Coturnix japonica: one gene and its partners. The protein of the gene in region 1 interacts with the protein of each later gene in a pairwise test. Links are inferred from orthologs where the notes say so. Each region holds a gene or a part of one and is shown in the gene's direction. Other genes may lie near its edges.

Region 1 (7,825 bases):
CTCCTTGCATTGACAATGGGGAATATTCCCTCATTCCCCTATATGCCTATAGGGAGGGATGTGATGCAGATCTTGCTGCCTGGCTCTCAGCATGGACACAGGGGGAGCAGGGAGCAGTGGCTCCAGTCTGTCCTGGCTTCATTTTCATGTAGGAACAGGAGAGTCAGGAGCTGCCCCTGTACAGGAAACCACTTTCTTAGTGGTATTTGGCACCAAATCTGTATATTCCCATTCATTTTAATTGTAAAAACCAACATCCCGACTGCCAAACCCAACCGCTTGCTGTGGAAGCAGTGGAGCAAAGCCACCTCTTAAAAGCTTCTCTCCTGCAAATTATTTCCTAGGGTTCTCCCAGCTTCACAACCAGCATTTCACTGAACCCAGGTCCATTGGAGCTGTGCTGATGTGGACCATGTGAGTGTTTGACCTGGAACGTGGTTGGCTTCAAAAGGAAGGATTTATTTCTTGGCGTGCACCAAAAGGAAGAGCTGCTAATAGCCCTTCAGCTGCCATAATGCAGCAGCTGCAAAGAGGACTCCCAGAATCTAAATGAAATAGGGATTTTCTTGCCTGTGTTCATCAGGATTTAGTTTTTCCCCCCCCCGAATTCTCAACCCTGCTCCTGTTTTCCTGCATTAGCTGAAAACCTGCTGAGGAAGCAGAGAATGGCAGTGAATCTGCTCTATCTCCCAGTCTGGAAGGAGAACAGATAAAACATCCCTCTATGGGGAAAACCATTTACCCAAGGACAAATCTGCTGCTGGTCTCATGCAGAAGTAGAGGATGCATGAAAGTGAATCAGGATCCTGAATGGGGAAAAAAAAGACCTTCCAATATGAGTCATGTTACTTAACAAACAAAAATGGGATTTTTCAAGCTGTATTATTGCTCCTTTCATTTTAGGCTCTTATTAGGGGTTGCCTATTGCAATCGTCTTTTGTAACTCAGAGCCAGATCCATCCTTCAATTTAAATTATTTCAAAGGGATTTAAGCATCTTTGGCTCATCCCATCCTCAGAAACTCGCTTTGTCTCTTTGTCATCAGGCCTTCAGAGCAGCACCTGATCCAAACACCCTCATCTCTGCACCCCAAAAGCATTGCAAATGGGCGTCCTCAGAGCTGCAGTGCTGGAACCTGTACAGAAGAGAGAGACTCCAGAATCTGCCCATCATATTTTCCCTTTCACTTCTCCCACAACCACAAAAGCCTCATCTGGGAGAGTTTAATTGCTTGGGCTCTCAGCCCTCAGCATCACTCCGGTGCCCTGCTGTCATTTCAGAGGGGAAAAGGTAATTTGTTCCAGCTGTCTGTGCAGCCTGGTCCATGCTCTGTGCAGGAGGGTCTGTGTCTTCAGCTCAGTGTATAAAGCAGCACCTGAGAGGTGATCGCCCTGATTCTGTAGGGGCAAAACCTGGGATGGGGATGGGGATGGGATGGGATAGAAGGGGATGGGATGGGATGGGATGGGATAGAAGGGGATGGGATGGGGATGGGGATGGGATGGGGATGGGGATGGGATGGGATGGGGTGCTTCTGCGCTCCTGCAGTGTCCACTGGGAACAGCTTTATGCTGCACGCTGCTCACCCCATTTGCACAGCCGGGATTAGGGTGATGTATGCGTGCAACGTCCCCGGTCCCGAGAGGAGGAGCGTCCCGTGGGGAGCGGTTACACAACAGTGTGGGTTGGGATTCCATGGGGAAATCCTAAAGGGGGGTGGAGAAGGGGGGAAGAAAGAGAGGGGGGGGGGGGGGGGTTTACGACTGCGATGGATCCTATGGGAGGAACCGCTGCTCCGGGAGGGTCACCACGAGAAGATCCCACGCGGGGCCGCTCCCCGCACCACCCCCCCCTATATCAGTGTCTCCTCCCCGGGGCGGCCCAATGCACCCGCCCTGCCCCGCTCCTCCCGGCCACACCGCCAGCCCGGAGCCCGCAGAGCGGCGTGCCGTGCCGTGCGGTGCCGTGCCGTGCCCACCCGTGGGGCCGAGCCCCTCGCCTGGCTCCATGCGGCGGGGTCCACCCGGCCCCGCTCCCCCCTGCCCGGGGAGCCCCGGCGGTGTCAGGGCAGCTCGACGGCTGCGGAGGCGCGGAGGGTCCCCTCGGCTTTTGCCCGACGTGCGCAACATCTTCTCGGCTCCTCGAGAAGCGGCGGAACGAGCCCACGGTCACGGTCACGGTCACGGTCACGGTCACCGCTTCGTCCCCCGCGTCCCTCGCTGCGGTTGGTGCGATCTGTGCGGAGCTGCCGTGCGGGATCGTGCCCTGCGCTGCGAATGTGAGTGCTGCTGCCGTCCCGCAGTTCCATCCCGCACCGCATCCATCACCCTGCCCTACTCCCCACCAACTCCATGCCCCCCTCACCCCCAGCCCCGTGTCCCCCCGCAGAGCTGTCCCCCGTGGGGTGCGGATCCGTGCGGGGGATGCGGGACTTGGGGTTTTTTTTTCCTCCGGGGAAGATGGGATTATCGGCTCATCGGGGCGGAATGGCTCGTGGTTGTGCCGCCTTACGGTGGAGCTAAATCCTTCCAGGAATAGCACGTTGGGAATATCTCCTTTAGGTTCTTTGGGCAGTGAGCAGTGGGAGCTCTCTAGGAAGACTCGCTGTGCTCCCATCGGGTGCATTAAGATTTAGTTCTGCAGGAAGGGTTGGCGTTCCCATCGTGTTTAAGGGGTTGGGAAGAGGGGGTGGGAGTGAATGGGGTGTCCTGGGTCAGACGCAGCCCATGTGCATCACTGTGTGAGGGGTGGCATAAGGACCAAGCAGTGAGTTACAGGCAGCAGAAGTCGAACCTGTTGCCTTGTTATTCCATATCTTCTGAATGGGGAAAGGGCTTTACATCCTATAGACTATGAGCAGTGCCTGGGGGCGGCGCTCCTCCTGCCCCAGCCCTGTGCCCAGCTGATGTTTTCAGGTAACTGAGGGAGCATCCCGATCTGACACGTTAATTGGCAGCACTTTGTGATGCTGTGAGTGCTATAAAAGGGGTGTTTTGAGGGATTTCTTTCCCAGGGCTCTTTTACGAGTGATATTGAAAGAAGCCTGCAGTGCTTGCTTCCCTTTTCGTTTCTTCTGAGAGCTGTCAGGCTGTGGGAATAGATCAGCCTCTAAAATTCCCCAAACAACGACGTGTTATCGCTGGGGGGAGGGAGAGAAACTTCAGTGGGACTCTTAGAACATCAGCACCCATCGCCCTCCCCCTCCTCCTGCAGCACATCCGTTTCTGTTGGGGTTTTTTTCTTGCTGTTTGTTCAGGTGGGGCGGAACGTAGATGTTGGAATGTGAAGGTGACAACGCAGCTTCCAAGTCTGTGCTGAGATTTATTTGGGTTCTAAGCAGGGATATCCGGGGTCGGGGGTGGTTCTGGAAGCAGAAACTCCTGCTCCTTCCCCTTATCCCCTGCATTATGGGCTGGGCTTTTCCCTCAGGCATTTTCCAGCCTTAGGTCCTCTCTCATCCTGGCAGCTCAGGGCATGACTTACAGCCCTTGTATTTCCTGGGCTGTGCTTATCAAACTGCCCTATGGGGTGAGCTGGGTGTGCCCTGCATGGGTTTGTCCCATAGACCCGATCCCTCCCCAGGACATCATGTCACCCCACCAGCACTCAATGAGGTTTCCTTGCAGGACAATGGCACAGCTCAGTCTGTGTTCCAGCACTGTTGGATCAGGACCCATTTCATTGAGAAGAAAGCTGGCACAACACACAGCACTTTGCTTTCTAGCTTGTAAACTGCAGCTCTGCCATTACAGGTTCTGGAGTGGCTGTTTAATTATCAGTGCTCAGTAGCAGGTGTGGATGCTCCCAGCTGGGCTCTGGGATGGGGTCTCTGCCCACACCTGCAGCACTTTAAGTGTGAGGTTTTCCCATGTCTCCTCCCTGCGTGTCCCTCCCATTTCTGCTCTCATCACTGTAAACAATAATTGCCACCAGGAGCCACAGTTTTGGGGCTTCCTTAGTCTGGTTTGGGCAGATTCTTGTTCTCCCAGCAGCAGAGGATGAGGGTGGTGGGGAAGGTGCAGGGCAGGGCACAGGGATCAGGTCTATGGGGCAGGGCACAGCAGGTATTGCTCACTGGGGGACTCAGCATTGGCAGGCTGCTATTCTGGGGGGGGCTCAGGTCCTTGGGTCACCCTTTGCTGCTGCCTTCCCATCCTGTGCTTATGGAGGAAGACACCAATGGAGGCTTTGGTTCACCAGGTGAGGTTTGGGTTGTTTCTTCCTTTCCTGGTCCTGTAGCTGGGCTTGGTGGTCTGGGTTGGGAAGAAGGGATGTGTGTGAGCTGCAGGGTTGGGGGATGCTGAGGGGTGAGGAAGGAATTACTTTGTATTATCCTGTGCTGCTTGGTGTGATGTTTGGATTTAGTGAGCTTTTATCTCTGCAAATTAATGGATGAAATGGGTAGAGTGTGTTGTGTGGGATGCTGGAAACCTGCCCCATGGGTGAGGGGATGGCTGTGATACAGAATGGGGAGGTTTTAAAGCCCTTTGTTGGGTGATGGGATGGATACGAGCATCATCCAGCACCTCACGTGGCTAGAAAGGATGGATGCTACAGGAAAACTGCAGCACTGATCCAAAAACCTGGCAGGGCTCATGTCAGTATTGCTCACATTGCTGATCTCAGTGTATTTCTTTAATGTTTCATTCAATATTGGAGGCTTTAGACAACCACAAGGGAACAGCAGTGAAGTGGGGATGTTAGAAAGGGACCTCCCAGCTCAGCCAGCTCCTGCTCTCCCTTCTAATCTCTTCCGTTGGGTCTTTTTATCTTATCAAGTAAGAAAAAGAAAAAGCCCCCGAAATAGAAACTTTTCCATGGTGAACAGGACGAGCCCTGAGGTGTGTTAAGCCCCGAGCTGTGCAATGGGCTCCACTGTGCTCTAAATATATAAATAAATGTATCCGTCAAATAGATTCACCGATGGCTCATGTCAATGCTTTATCTCCATGGGATAAGGCTGTGGAGGCAGGCGCTGCTCTGCGCAGTGCTGTGCTGCCTTGGGAGTGTTGGTCCCCCTGCTGAGGATGTCGGAGGGCAGAGCAGAGGCTGCTGTTTGCTTTGGGTTCATTGCAAAGAGAATCCGCAAAGTATTCAGGCACTTTTTCAAGTCCAAGTCTTGCTCCGAGGGACCGCAGAGGCTGAGCAGGGAGGGCTCATTGCTGAGAGGTAGGGGCTGTGTTTGGGTGTCTGTTGGTTGCTGTTGTTAATGAAGGGGGGTAATGGGGTTCCATAGAGCACAGCTGGAAGTGCTTCATGCCTCAGCAGGGAAGCTGCTCCATTAAGAAGCAATGGCTTTAGAGCATCACCCACCCAGTGGCTGCTTTGTGCTCCTGTCCCAGCTTGGTGCAATGGCTGGGGTTACCCTATGAAGCTGGACAGCTTTGAAGAGCATTATATCAAAGGATGCCAATGGCACACAGGGCTGGGCAGGGTGACTGCAAGCTGCGCTTAGGCAGATGGATGAGCACCCAGATGGGGTTCAGTTGCACATCCAATGTTATCACTCTGATAAGCTTTATCTGCATGCAGAGGGAAGTTCCTTTCAGCTACTAAAGTTTCTTGCTATGTTGTGATCAGACTCGAGGGTTTTCTTTACTTAAAGAAGCTGTTTCCAGCGGTGGCTTTGTTTGACTCGAATAGAAATGATCTCACGGCCGCAATGGAGGCATCCTGCCCCATCACGTGGCTGCTTCCCAGGGCTGTGCTGGGCTTCTAAAATTAGTGCTGCCCACCAGATAGTGGTGATTAGGGCTGCTAATAGGCGGCGGTGACTAAGGAGGTGTCATGCTGTAATCCTAAGGGGGAAATGCCTGGCTGTGATGGGGGTGGACTCAGTGATTTGTGGTCTGTATTTCACACTACAGACTGCTCCCCATTGTGGGTGCTCCATCATTCCCATCCTACATGCCGTGCATGGGGACATCTGAATGTGATGCCTTTGGGGGCTGCTGTGTTGGTTGCTCAGGTGGGGCTGCAATCACAGCCTGCTGTGCTTGGCACCTTGCAGCATAGAGCTGGCAAATGTCCCACTGAGCAGCTGCTCCAGCTGTTTGAAAGGTCATGCATTGCATTACCATGCAACTGCTTGGCTTATCCCTCATTAAAATTAAGAGGGGGGAAAAAAATCAATCAGAAGACCCCCTTGCTTGCCTCCCAGCCTTGAGACAACCAGCTGGAAATGGTAGGATGGCAGCTGGTGTCAATTGAATGCTAAGCAATCAATGGTTCCTCTGAGGGAGATACTCAGGCACTGCGTGAATGCTCTGCTCCTGCTTGGGAATTCCTTGATAGGGGCAGAGATCTGATTCTATGGGATGTCACTTTGCTTTCTGCAAGTCCAAGGGGTTCAAAAGCAATGACCCAAGTGCCCAAAAATAATAGAGGGAAAGGCAGGTTTTCTTGTAGAGGGGGCCTCTGCAATGCTGAGGGTGTTGGTTTTGGGGAGGAGTGGGTGCTGGGTGGCCAACAGGTCAATGACTGCACTGGAATTGTGGGTTGTGTAAGAAATAATTGATTGAATGCTGTTTGTGGGGCTGTTAAAAATTAAAAGGGCTGTTGGAGTGGGGGGAGCACTCAGAGGGGCTGGATGTGGCTGCAGACAGCACCCATGGGTGTTGGTAGAGCGCAATGGGGAGGACATGGGGCTTCTGGCTGCTCTCCCATCACAGCACGGCTCTGTTCTCTCCCAGATTGCAGGTACACGTGCCATCAGCAATGCTGCAGCCTCGTCCAGCTGGACTGCCGCCGGCCTGACCCCGGGCAGCTCTCTCCTGTGGGCACCATTGTGCTCCCCTGCAGCCAGGTATGCCCTCATGGTGGTCAGCCTCTTTCCCAAAGCCCATTTCTTTGCTCTTAGCAGGGTGAGATTTCATTGCAGAGGTCGGCCCGTGGCCCTAATTGATGCTTGCTAATAAATTCCCTGTGCATCTTGCTTCTGTGCCCATCATCTGAAAAGGGAATAGGTGCCAGAATACACTGGGGAAATGGAGAACAGCACACTGGAAGGGTGGGAAATGCCGTGGCTGGTGTAGTTGGCAGCCAGTAAATAGTATTATCAAATGTAAGCAAAGCAGGAGCATCGGAGAAAGTTAGTAAAGTCCTGTTGGCACTTCATACCAAGCATTAATAATATGGGCCTTGATCCAGCAAAGTACTTAAGTGTGTTGTGTTTAGGTCCCAGATTGCTCTCCCTGGGTGCAGTGCAGCCAGCACAGCCTCTGCCTGGCTCAACCCTGGGGCTACAGCACCTTGATGTGGGATTTCCTACAAGAACAAAGGATTTGAATCATATTTTCAGCCTTGATGTCACCAAAGGTGATCTCCAGCTGACCCAGCTCTGCACCTGACACAGCACTTGGTTCTGCTCATGCCCTGCACGCTTGATTTAAGCCTATTTCTCTTCTAATTATGACCCAGCGCTGCAGAGGAGAAGAAAAATGCATTCCCTGTCTGCAAAGCTTCTAAATATTTGCGGCTTGAGCATAACTAGAAAGCAGCCTGGAGCCTCCTTATCTACACTGGCGGATGGGAGCAGCCCCGAGCTGGGGTCTGTGTCAGGCTGAGTTGTGGAGCATGAGTTTCCATCCCCCTGCAGTGAGGGGGTTGCTGCAAACGGGGTCAAGGAGCTGGGCAGCATTTCCTTGGCTTGTACCTACACAGCTCCCAAAGCATCTGCAGAGCAGATGGACCTTCACTGCCCCCTGCACAGCACTGCAGGGCTTGTACCCCTTCCCCACCTCTTTTTGGATGCAGCGCATCTCTGCGAGCATCCCTCGCTCCAGCCTGTGTTTGGGATGCAGGGAAGGAGCAGCTCTCTTTCTAA
Region 2 (4,562 bases), on another chromosome or scaffold:
CTTGAAGGATAAACCCCCTATTTCAGGGCTTTGTGCAGCTCTGCTCTATGGCCACAAAGGGCCTCTCAGCTCCGCCAGCCCCAAAGATGCTGCTGGAATATCAATAATCCCCCCTTGCTGCCCCCCCTTCCCTTCTCCTTTTGCCATGTCAGTGTTTCCCCACGCCAGATGGCTCCTCCTGAACTCCTCATATTTTACATACACACACACTGATTACAATCTGCAGTTGTGAAGAGCTGCTTGTTTTGCCTAAACCAGCTGTTCAGATCGTTCCTTTGTGTTCTGCCCTTTTAATTTATTTATTTCTTCCCCCTGGTGTGGGCTGTTTCTATTTAAATTCCTTAAAAAAAGGAGAAGAAGGGGGAGAAAAAGAAAGCGCAGGGAAGCCACAAAGCAGTGGGGAAAGGTCAGGAGCAGACAAAGGCTCTGCTGCTCTAACAGAATACTGAGTGCCTCTGTGCACCCCCAGCCCTCCCCCCATGGCTGTTCGCTAGCCCTATAACACCATCCCCAAAGGCAGAATAACAACGTGTGGAACGTGTATGGATCTGGTTCTGAATATCACAAGGTTTGGAACATTTCAAGGCAGGAATAACTGCTTTATAGTGTGTTAAGCTGGAGCTGATTGTGAGAGCGTTTCTAAGCTGGGTGCCTGAGATGGAGCATCCTTTGGGACTGCAGGAGTGCTGCTTGGGATAGGGCATGTTTTGGGACTTCAGCTGTGGTACTTGGGATGGGAAACCCAGTCCTGGTACCTCAGATGGAGCATCCTGGTACTGGGATGGGATGTCCCTTGGGTAGACACTCATTGTATTTGGGATAGGGCTTGTTTCAGGAGCGTAGTGCTGGTACCTGGGATGGGGCATCCTTTGGGATTGCAGTCCTGGTACCTGGGATAGGGCATGTTTTGGGAATTCAGCCGTGGTGCTTGGGATGGGAAACCCAGTCCTAGTACTTGGATTAGGGCATCCTTTGGAATTGCAGTCCTACTATCTGGGATACGGTAAGTTTGGGTATTACAGTCCTGGTACCTGGGATGGAGCATCCTCTGGGATTGCCATCCTATGCCTGATACTGGAAGCCCAGTCCTGATAATAACATGAAATAACCTTTAGGATTGCAGCCCTGGTGCTTATGATGGGGCACCTTTGGGAACTCAGCCCCAGGTGCCCGAGCCAGGCTTCATTTATGACCATACTCCCCATCCCCTGGGTACCCCCTCCTGCCCATCCGGACATCACGGAGCGCACCCCCAGCCGAAGGAACCTCTGTGTTCGTGGGGAAGGGCTGTGAGACACTAGAAACCTCAGCCTCCCTCCTCCACTCCCCCCCTCCCCGCAGCCCCGACCGCATCTCCGCCCCTCTCCTCCCCTCTCCGCCCCACCGGGGGCGGCCCCAAGCGGACAGCGGGCGCGGCGCGGAGCAGCGCGGTGCGGTGCCGGTGAGTGCGGGATGGACGGGGCAGCCGCGTTCCTATCCCCATCCCTTTGCCTTTCCCCATCCCTGTCCTCATCCCCATCCCCGAGGCTGAGGGTGGCTTTACAGACCCCCTACCCTCCCGTCGGTGCCACCTTATTGCTGCCTTCGCCTTCACTCTCGAAGCTGGCTGTATTAGCAGGGAGATGCGAGCCCCCATCTGCGGGGTCCCAGCCCTGCACGCGACCCCTAAACCCTAATCCTTCCCACTGGTTCCCCCGTACCCACGGCTGAGTCCCCCAGCCCCGTTCCCTGCAGCCCCTATGGAGCTACTGACGGCCAATGGTTCTGCACGGGGGGGAATGAGCTCAAGCAAAGGGTCCGCTCGCTCAGCCCTGTGCCATCAACCCAACCACCATCACCCGGCAGCTCCTCACCGCTCCCTCCTCTCCCCTTTAACAGGACGGAGCTGAACAATAGCAGAGCTGGAAAACAATGGGACCGCCTCACCTTCACGCTTAGCTAGGGGAGAAATCCCTGCTTGAAACCAACATTTGGGCCGGAGCTGCTGGGTACCATCATCGGGAGCGCTGCTGGGATCTGCTTGGAGTGGGTGAGGATGTGCAGCCGGAGCCCATTGCTGAGCAATGCCTCTCCCAGCCCCTAAAAGGGGATAATTGTCCCCTGCAGATGTTGCTTTGCTTCTGCATTGGGATCGATGGATGCTCTGATGCTGCACTGCCCTGGGCAGGGTCAGGGCAGGGTTGGGATATTCCCACAATCCCTCAGTGTGCAATAGGAAAATCCTCAGCCCTGAAAGCAGCGAGGAAGTGCCCCCAAAAACACACTTCTCATTACAGGAATGGCCGCAACCCTTCTCTCACATATATCATATTTGGATATTGTTCTATTTTTCCCCTCTTTATGCTTTCTTTTTGCTCGGTATCTCCCCAGGAGCTCTGCAGAAGCAGCAGCTTGGTTGTGCCCTCTATGGAGTAGTAGATGGGGGCCAGGTAAAGGGCCTTAGGAAGGGTGTTGCTAGGAGGGATTATATTTGGGGTTGGAAGCAATGGTGGCAGTGGTTGATGGGTCCTATTTGTAGGCAGAGAGCGCTGCTTTGATTAATTTAAGGCATTGATACAGCCCTCAGGCTGCTCTGAGTCCTCAATCCATGGCAAATGTGAATGAAATGCATCAAAACTGGGGAAACTGAGGCACGGGGATGCCTGGAAAGCCCATCCATGCCAACTGCAGAGCTTGGGCAAGTGACTGGGCAATGCTCATGTTTCCAGCTGTTCTACTGGGGTCCTTTCCAGCACTTCAGGTCTACCAAGGCTATAGCAGGTAATCCATCGGGTTGCAGTTTGGGTCTCTCTGTTGGCTGCCTGCTCCTCTTTGCTCAGCCCGATGCTCTCGAGACCCAAAAAAGGAAGAACTGCCCCGTTCCTGGCTGCTCGGAAGGGGATATGATGACGGAGGCGAAGGTGGCAGCGCTGCGGGGCGGTAAACAGGAAACCCAGCTCCACTCTGAGAGCGTTCAGGAGGAGAAAAAACCACTTTTGGGGGTGCTTTTTGATTGATGGATTGATTGATTTTTTGCTTTGATTTTCCCCCATTTCAGGAAGCGAGGGGTTGGGCTTTGGCCCTTTGTGTCACTCTAGGCTTATTGCGAAGGGTTTGGGGTTTGTTTTGGCTGCTTTGGTGTTGTTGGTGATGTTTTTGCATGACCCAAGCAACGTTATTCTCCCTTAATTGTTATTTCCATCATCTGGATTGAATGAGCAAAGCACCAACTCTGCTCTATGCACCACAGCTGCCAATGCTTTGGCTCAACCCAAATTCTGGTGCCATGCAATGCTGTGCTGGGATTTATCCCAACACCATCAGCATTCCCCTTCCTTATGTAGTTCTCCATGCACACAGAGGATCATTAATGTTTCTCCCCTATTTTCTTGCTGTGATGAGCCACGTGGATGGGGTAAAGGCCTCATGCTGATATGGGGCTGCAATGCTGCTCATCCGGAAGCGTGCGGCTTCGTCAGCTTTTCCTCTGCAAGATGCAATCTTTGCAGGGCAGGTTTCTCTTCTGCTTTCTGCTCTGCCTTTGCAAACATTTCCCTGCATTGGACCGTGAGTGTTTTCTGATGCGTGGTTTGTTTGCTATAAGCTTGGGATAAGGATTGCTGCTGCGCTCGGGTTTTTGGTTTCCTCTGACACAGGTTTAGTCCCATGGCCTTGGTTGAATCACTGATGGCGCATCGTTGTGGGTTTGGGGTTTTGCTTTTGCAGTTCAAGTTTTGGTTTCTTGGAGCTTTGGGGGTGTGGAGGGACTGTGAAGCTCGATGTGGGAAGTGGAGAAAACTGCAATTTGTGCACAAAGTGTTTGGTTTTTTGGCCTTATTTTCTCTGTGTGAGGAGAAAGAGGGGAGAGGAGCTCAGAAAAAGGATCTGTGCAAACACATGGGAAAAAGCAAGACCTGAAAAGCCACCCCTCATAGCCTAAAACCACTCTGAAGCTGCAGTTCAGCTTCTCTCCAGTTCCTGTTTCACAAAGTGCTCCAAGCAAATGGGTGACCCCAAAGGTTTTGCCCCAGATCTCATTCGATTCCGGTCTGTAGCTTCCAAGAAACATCCTCGTGCTTTAAAGGCCAAACCACTTCAAAGGTTGGGCTGCAGGCGCAGTTCCTGAGGGTTTGCATGAGAGTGATGGGGATATTTTGGCACTGGAGGGAATGCAAAAATTCAGTGGGTGTTGCATTCGAAGAAGGAAAAAGAAGCAAGAAACCAATCCAGTGGTTCTATTGTGAATCCAGCTTTCATGCGTGCTGCCTCATTTGGGACAGCATGAACAAGCATTAAGCTGGATCCACCCACAGCTTCCTAACATATAAATGGGGGGTGGGGGAGAGGAGAAAAAGGAGGAAATCCCACTTATTTCCACCTCGTCTTGCCTGGCTGTGCAGCCTATGGATGGAGGCTGCTCTAAATGCAAATGTTGGAGTAAGCGTATCTCTGCCGGTATTAAATTTTCAGTGGGTTTACAACGGTTCTCCCCTTATCTGATTTCCCCTCCTGCTTCCCCGCCCATTGCTTCTGTTGGAGGAGCAGCATTTAATTTCCCCTGCGCCCACAGATGCTGCCCCAAA
Region 3 (4,408 bases), on another chromosome or scaffold:
AGGAGGCACTACAAACAGTACCTACTGTGTGAAATAGGGTGTGACCAAAAAAGAACCTTGTACAGGGATTACACCTGGGCAATTTATACACAACTCACTACTGTAGTGAAAGATTGATCCATCCTGGAGGCATTGCTATGGTGCAGCACTAAGTATGTCATGACGTATGGCACCAAGGTGGCATGCTGTTGAGCAATGCTCTTCTACCATACTCCATAGTTGAGCATGCATCTGTCAGTGTGCCTCTATGAGTGGTACTGACCCACCAAAGAGCCTAAGTGGGACTGAAAGAGGCTTTGGGCTTTTCATTCAGGCAGAGCCCAACAGACTGCAAAGCACTCTCAATGCCGGAGCTCTCCCTTGTATGTTAGTATAGGACACGGTTCTTTCCTGTCTCCTTGCAGCATGAATAAAACATCACAGAGGGCCTGCAGAAAAGAACGCATTTCTGTGACAGCAGCATCCTGCTGCCACGCTTGAAAATGCTTGTTTTGCACAGGGCTTAACCAACTTATGCGATCTAGTGCTACAAGCTATTTTGGTGGCTTTAGGCTTAGATTTCAAAGCAGGATAGTGCTCCTACAGACATAATAAGAACACCTTCATCTGCGTTAGGTTAGACAAGAAGAAAACACAGGAGGTATGCTGATGTATGCAGAAAATGAGGCCTCTAGGAGGGGAGCCAGACCTATACAGAAAACAAGGAGAGCCAGTTTGTGGTGCATGAGTGGCATGGATGCGTAAGGAATGCCTGTTATCTGTAAGCTGGCCATCACTGTTTGGTGCTGGGTAAAACCAACATCCTGTTACCAGGATTTCTTCGCCTTCCTGCTGCATCTGTGCAAGAAAACAGAAATAAAACAAACTTTTCCTGCCCCCACTCCAAAATAAACTAAGAAACAAGTGGAAAAGGCAAAATATTCGGTGATTTGTGTTGGTGGCTCATCTCCCTGTCATAAATTCCCTTCAAAGGAACTGTTTTTTCCCAAACCCAACCTGCTCTTCCCCCATCCTCATCCCGTCCTTCCTCACCACACCCCCAGGCCGGCAGGGGGCGCCCCACAGCCCCCCCACATCAACCGCAGCCGTTCTCCAGAAGACGGCTGCTCTGATTGGCGGCCGAGCGGCCCGCAGCGGAGAGCGGAGCCCCGCGATTGGTCCGCAGGTGCCGCGCAGGGGGGAGGCAGAGGGTATATAAGGAGGGAGCGGCGGCAGCGGAGCGTGGATAGTGGTTGCGTTGTGTTGGTGTGCGGGTGTGGGCGGCGGGAGGCGCAGCCCGCAAGCACAGCGCCCTTCCCCGTCAGTGCCGGCGTTGGCAGCCGTTCGGTGCGGTGCAGTGGCAGCTCTGGCCGACCCCAGCCATGCTGTGTTATGTGACCAGGCCGGACGCGGTGGTGATGGAGGTGGAGGTAGAGGCGAAAGCCAACGGCGAGGACTGCCTCAACCAGGTGAGGGGCGTCCCCAGTGGGGCGGGTGGCGGTCTCCCCCCCCCCCCCAACCCATTATTTTCTCCCTTTTCCCCCCCCCCCCCCCTTCCATGTTGGATGCGGGTTGCCCGCATCCCTCTCCTCGCCGCTCTCCGGCCCGGCGCTGGTTATCGCCTTTCTCCTTCACTTGTTTGGGAAGGGCGGGCCAACAAGGGGGTGAGAGGGGGGCTGGGGAGGCCTCGGCCTCGCTGCTGCGGCCCCATCTCAACCTCCCCCCATACCCCCCGAGGGATGGGGGGGGCACGGGAGGACCCGTCGGGCCGCTGCGAGGCCGCCCGGGTGGGGCCCGCGGTAGCTGGGGCTGCGGGAAGAGCCGCCCCGTCTGTGCGTGGTGTCTGGGTGAAGCTGAGCCTGTCCCCCCCGGGGGGTCATAAAGTCCGTGTTGTTGTCGGCTAGTGGGGACGTTGCCAGCTTGTTTACGTAGCGCTTTGCACGCCGCTCTTTGGAAATCTGCTCGTATAAAGATGCTTGCAAACAGGGTTTCTCTCTCGTTTCAAGCTGCTCACACTTGAGCCGGGGTATCTTTGTCTAATCGTGTCGTTCGTGCCTTATAAACGACCTCTTTCTTTCAGGTTTGCAGAAGGTTGGGGATCATAGAAGTCGATTATTTCGGACTGCAGTTCACTGGCAGCAAAGGGGAGAATCTATGGCTGAATCTGAGGAACAGGATTTCCCAGCAGATGGATGGTTTAGCTCCTTATCGGTTTAAATTAAGAGTCAAGTTCTTTGTAGAGCCGCATCTTATCTTACAAGAACAGACAAGGTAAGGTAAAGAAGGCTGTAAGCAAAGCTAATTTTGTTCTCAGTTTTGTTAACTTGTGAAAACGATTATGTGGAGGCTCTATTTCTTCCGTCTTCTGATATTCCCTGTTAAACTCAGTTTAAATCCACTATTTAGACGTGTTATTCACTTTCTAGAAAGAAAAAGTAATGGTGTGAGTAGCTAGCAGTAATGTATGTAGTTAATTCCATGAGAAACTGGTGCTGGAAGAAGCTGAGCTAACAGTAACAACTTATTTAGATGGCAAATGTGTGTCCGATAGTAACCCCAGCTCAGTGGTGTTACTGTAGGTCGTTCTAAGGCAGGAAACAATTCCTCCCACAGAGCAAAAACTTGCTGAATTCCTTTTTGTCTGGTATCATGTTACAGTAACTTTCAAACAGCTACAGGCCCTGTGAGGCTACAAAAGAAACAGCTGTTGGGCTTCTGTAGCCTGTCCTAGTAACTAAATTGTTTGCTACCCAGCCTTAAGGTTTGGACTGCTAAGATTAGTGAGGCGTGCTTGCTTTCACTCCTTGAGTTTGATTACTGCCTTACTGCTTGATCTCCAATTGCTTTCTCTTTAAGGAAAGCTGGGTACTAAGTTTAATACTGATTTCTCAACTAATGTTTTTTGTTTTAGGTAGTAAATGGGGCAGATGGAAATCTAGTGTCTGGCTGGTAGTGCCAAAATGTCTTCATTTAGTAGAATGAGTTAGTTAGGTACTGGAATAGGCTCCCCAGGGAGGTGGTTGAATCGCCATCCCTGGTTGTGTTTAAGAGCCGTTTGGATGTGGTGCTCAGGAATACAATTTAGTGTAGGGTTTTTAGAGTTAAGGTTCTGGTTAGGCTACAGTTGGACTTGATGATCTTCAAGGTCTTTTCCAACCTGGGTAATTCTATGATTATCCACTTTTACTTTGTACTATCAGAATTAAGACCACAGACATGACGCCCTTGTTCTGCACAGCATGTTTGTGTAATTAATTTGGTCATAAACTGGCTCTTGATTTGGTGTGTATTTCATAGGAAGGGACGTCTTGAGTTTTTCCTTCCCTAATGTATAGGGGTGAGGCTTTGGGGAGTGGTTATTGCCCAATCTGTTTGAAGTTGAATGCTATTTGTATGACTTTATCTGGCATAATAGATTCAGTTGGGCAAATATAGTCCAACAAATCCAGGATGTCTTTGGGCTCTTACTGAATACTTTTCTTCAAAATGCATATAAGTAAAGAAAGGAGGAAATAAAGGATTTTTATGTAGAACCAAAGAAGCAACAGGGTCTCATTCCTGATGAGGCAGATGAAATTGCTGTGTATGTTGTTGGATGCAGCTCCTCACTCAGGCAAAGCCATTGTGAATCTGAGGAAACAAAGTGCAACTGTGATTGGTGTTTTGCTGTTGCTGCTGAGAGCTTGTTCTGCTTTATATGGCTCTTGCAGACACCTGTCTTCTTACCTTCAACACCATCAGTGCAAGTCTTGGCAGGTTGTGTAAGCTACTAACAGAGCTTGAAGTGGTGAAACACACCCCAAGGGCCTAAAAGGCAGGTTTTGTAGCTAGACTGCAAAATAACTTGTATGTACATACATCAAAGTCATGAGTGTGTTCCACTATAAAGATGACTTTAAGAGGTTGCAGGTGGGATGAGTTCTCTTTTATGTGTGAATTAAGGCTGTTTGAAAGTATTTTAACAAACACGTCTAACACTGAGACTCAGTCAATGAGAGCTCTATTAAAATGAGGCCATGGTGAAAATGAATTGATGATTTGGAGAGAAACTGCTTATCTGGGGCCTTAGGAGCATTCGCACTTGCAAGATAATCACATGAAATGCTAAATCAAAGTCAGCTGTTCAGTCCACATACTGAGTATCTGTGCTAAAAGCGTTTGCATTAATAATTAAATCCACGTTGCAAAATAGTTTGCGTTGGCTGCATTTTAGCTGCCTGCATGTGGCAGATCTAGAGCTCCACGGTGGTTGTGGTTAGTGTGTATTTCCGTAGTGCTGGCACTGAGGTACATTAAATTTGCTATTCCTTCTCAGGTCTGCTAAAGGATTTAGCTGTGCACCCCTAGTTTAGTTTAAACTTGGGTAGGATGAAGGAAAAGGTAAAAACATGTTGAACCTGTCAGTGAATTGGTGGGTGTATCATAGAAG

Evidence for each region.
Region 2: the proteins of RASSF5 (region 1) and RASSF2 interact in binary tests that used the Homo sapiens proteins (3 or more experiments, as listed by UniProt). The link is inferred for Coturnix japonica from reciprocal best matches to the Homo sapiens genes RASSF5 and RASSF2.
Region 3: the proteins of RASSF5 (region 1) and MYLIP interact in binary tests that used the Homo sapiens proteins (3 or more experiments, as listed by UniProt). The two-hybrid records come from large-scale screens. The link is inferred for Coturnix japonica from reciprocal best matches to the Homo sapiens genes RASSF5 and MYLIP.

The regions. Positions count from the first base shown.
Region 1 is NC_029541.1:2,733,873-2,741,697, forward strand, and holds the start of RASSF5 (ras association domain-containing protein 5), read left to right. Parts: upstream 1-1,849; 5' UTR 1,850-1,884; coding exon 1,885-2,278; intron 2,279-6,692; coding exon 6,693-6,805; intron 6,806-7,820; exon of another isoform or gene 7,821-7,825. UniProt on the Homo sapiens protein: Potential tumor suppressor. Seems to be involved in lymphocyte adhesion by linking RAP1A activation upon T-cell receptor or chemokine stimulation to integrin activation.
Region 2 is NC_029537.1:1,638,079-1,642,640, forward strand, and holds the start of RASSF2 (ras association domain-containing protein 2), read left to right. Parts: upstream 1-1,364; 5' UTR 1,365-1,441; intron 1,442-1,878; 5' UTR 1,879-2,029; intron 2,030-4,562. UniProt on the Homo sapiens protein: Potential tumor suppressor. Acts as a KRAS-specific effector protein. May promote apoptosis and cell cycle arrest. Stabilizes STK3/MST2 by protecting it from proteasomal degradation.
Region 3 is NC_029517.1:67,510,470-67,514,877, reverse strand, and holds the start of MYLIP (E3 ubiquitin-protein ligase MYLIP), read left to right. Parts: upstream 1-1,210; 5' UTR 1,211-1,361; coding exon 1,362-1,448; intron 1,449-2,059; coding exon 2,060-2,250; intron 2,251-4,408. UniProt on the Homo sapiens protein: E3 ubiquitin-protein ligase that mediates ubiquitination and subsequent proteasomal degradation of myosin regulatory light chain (MRLC), LDLR, VLDLR and LRP8. Activity depends on E2 enzymes of the UBE2D family.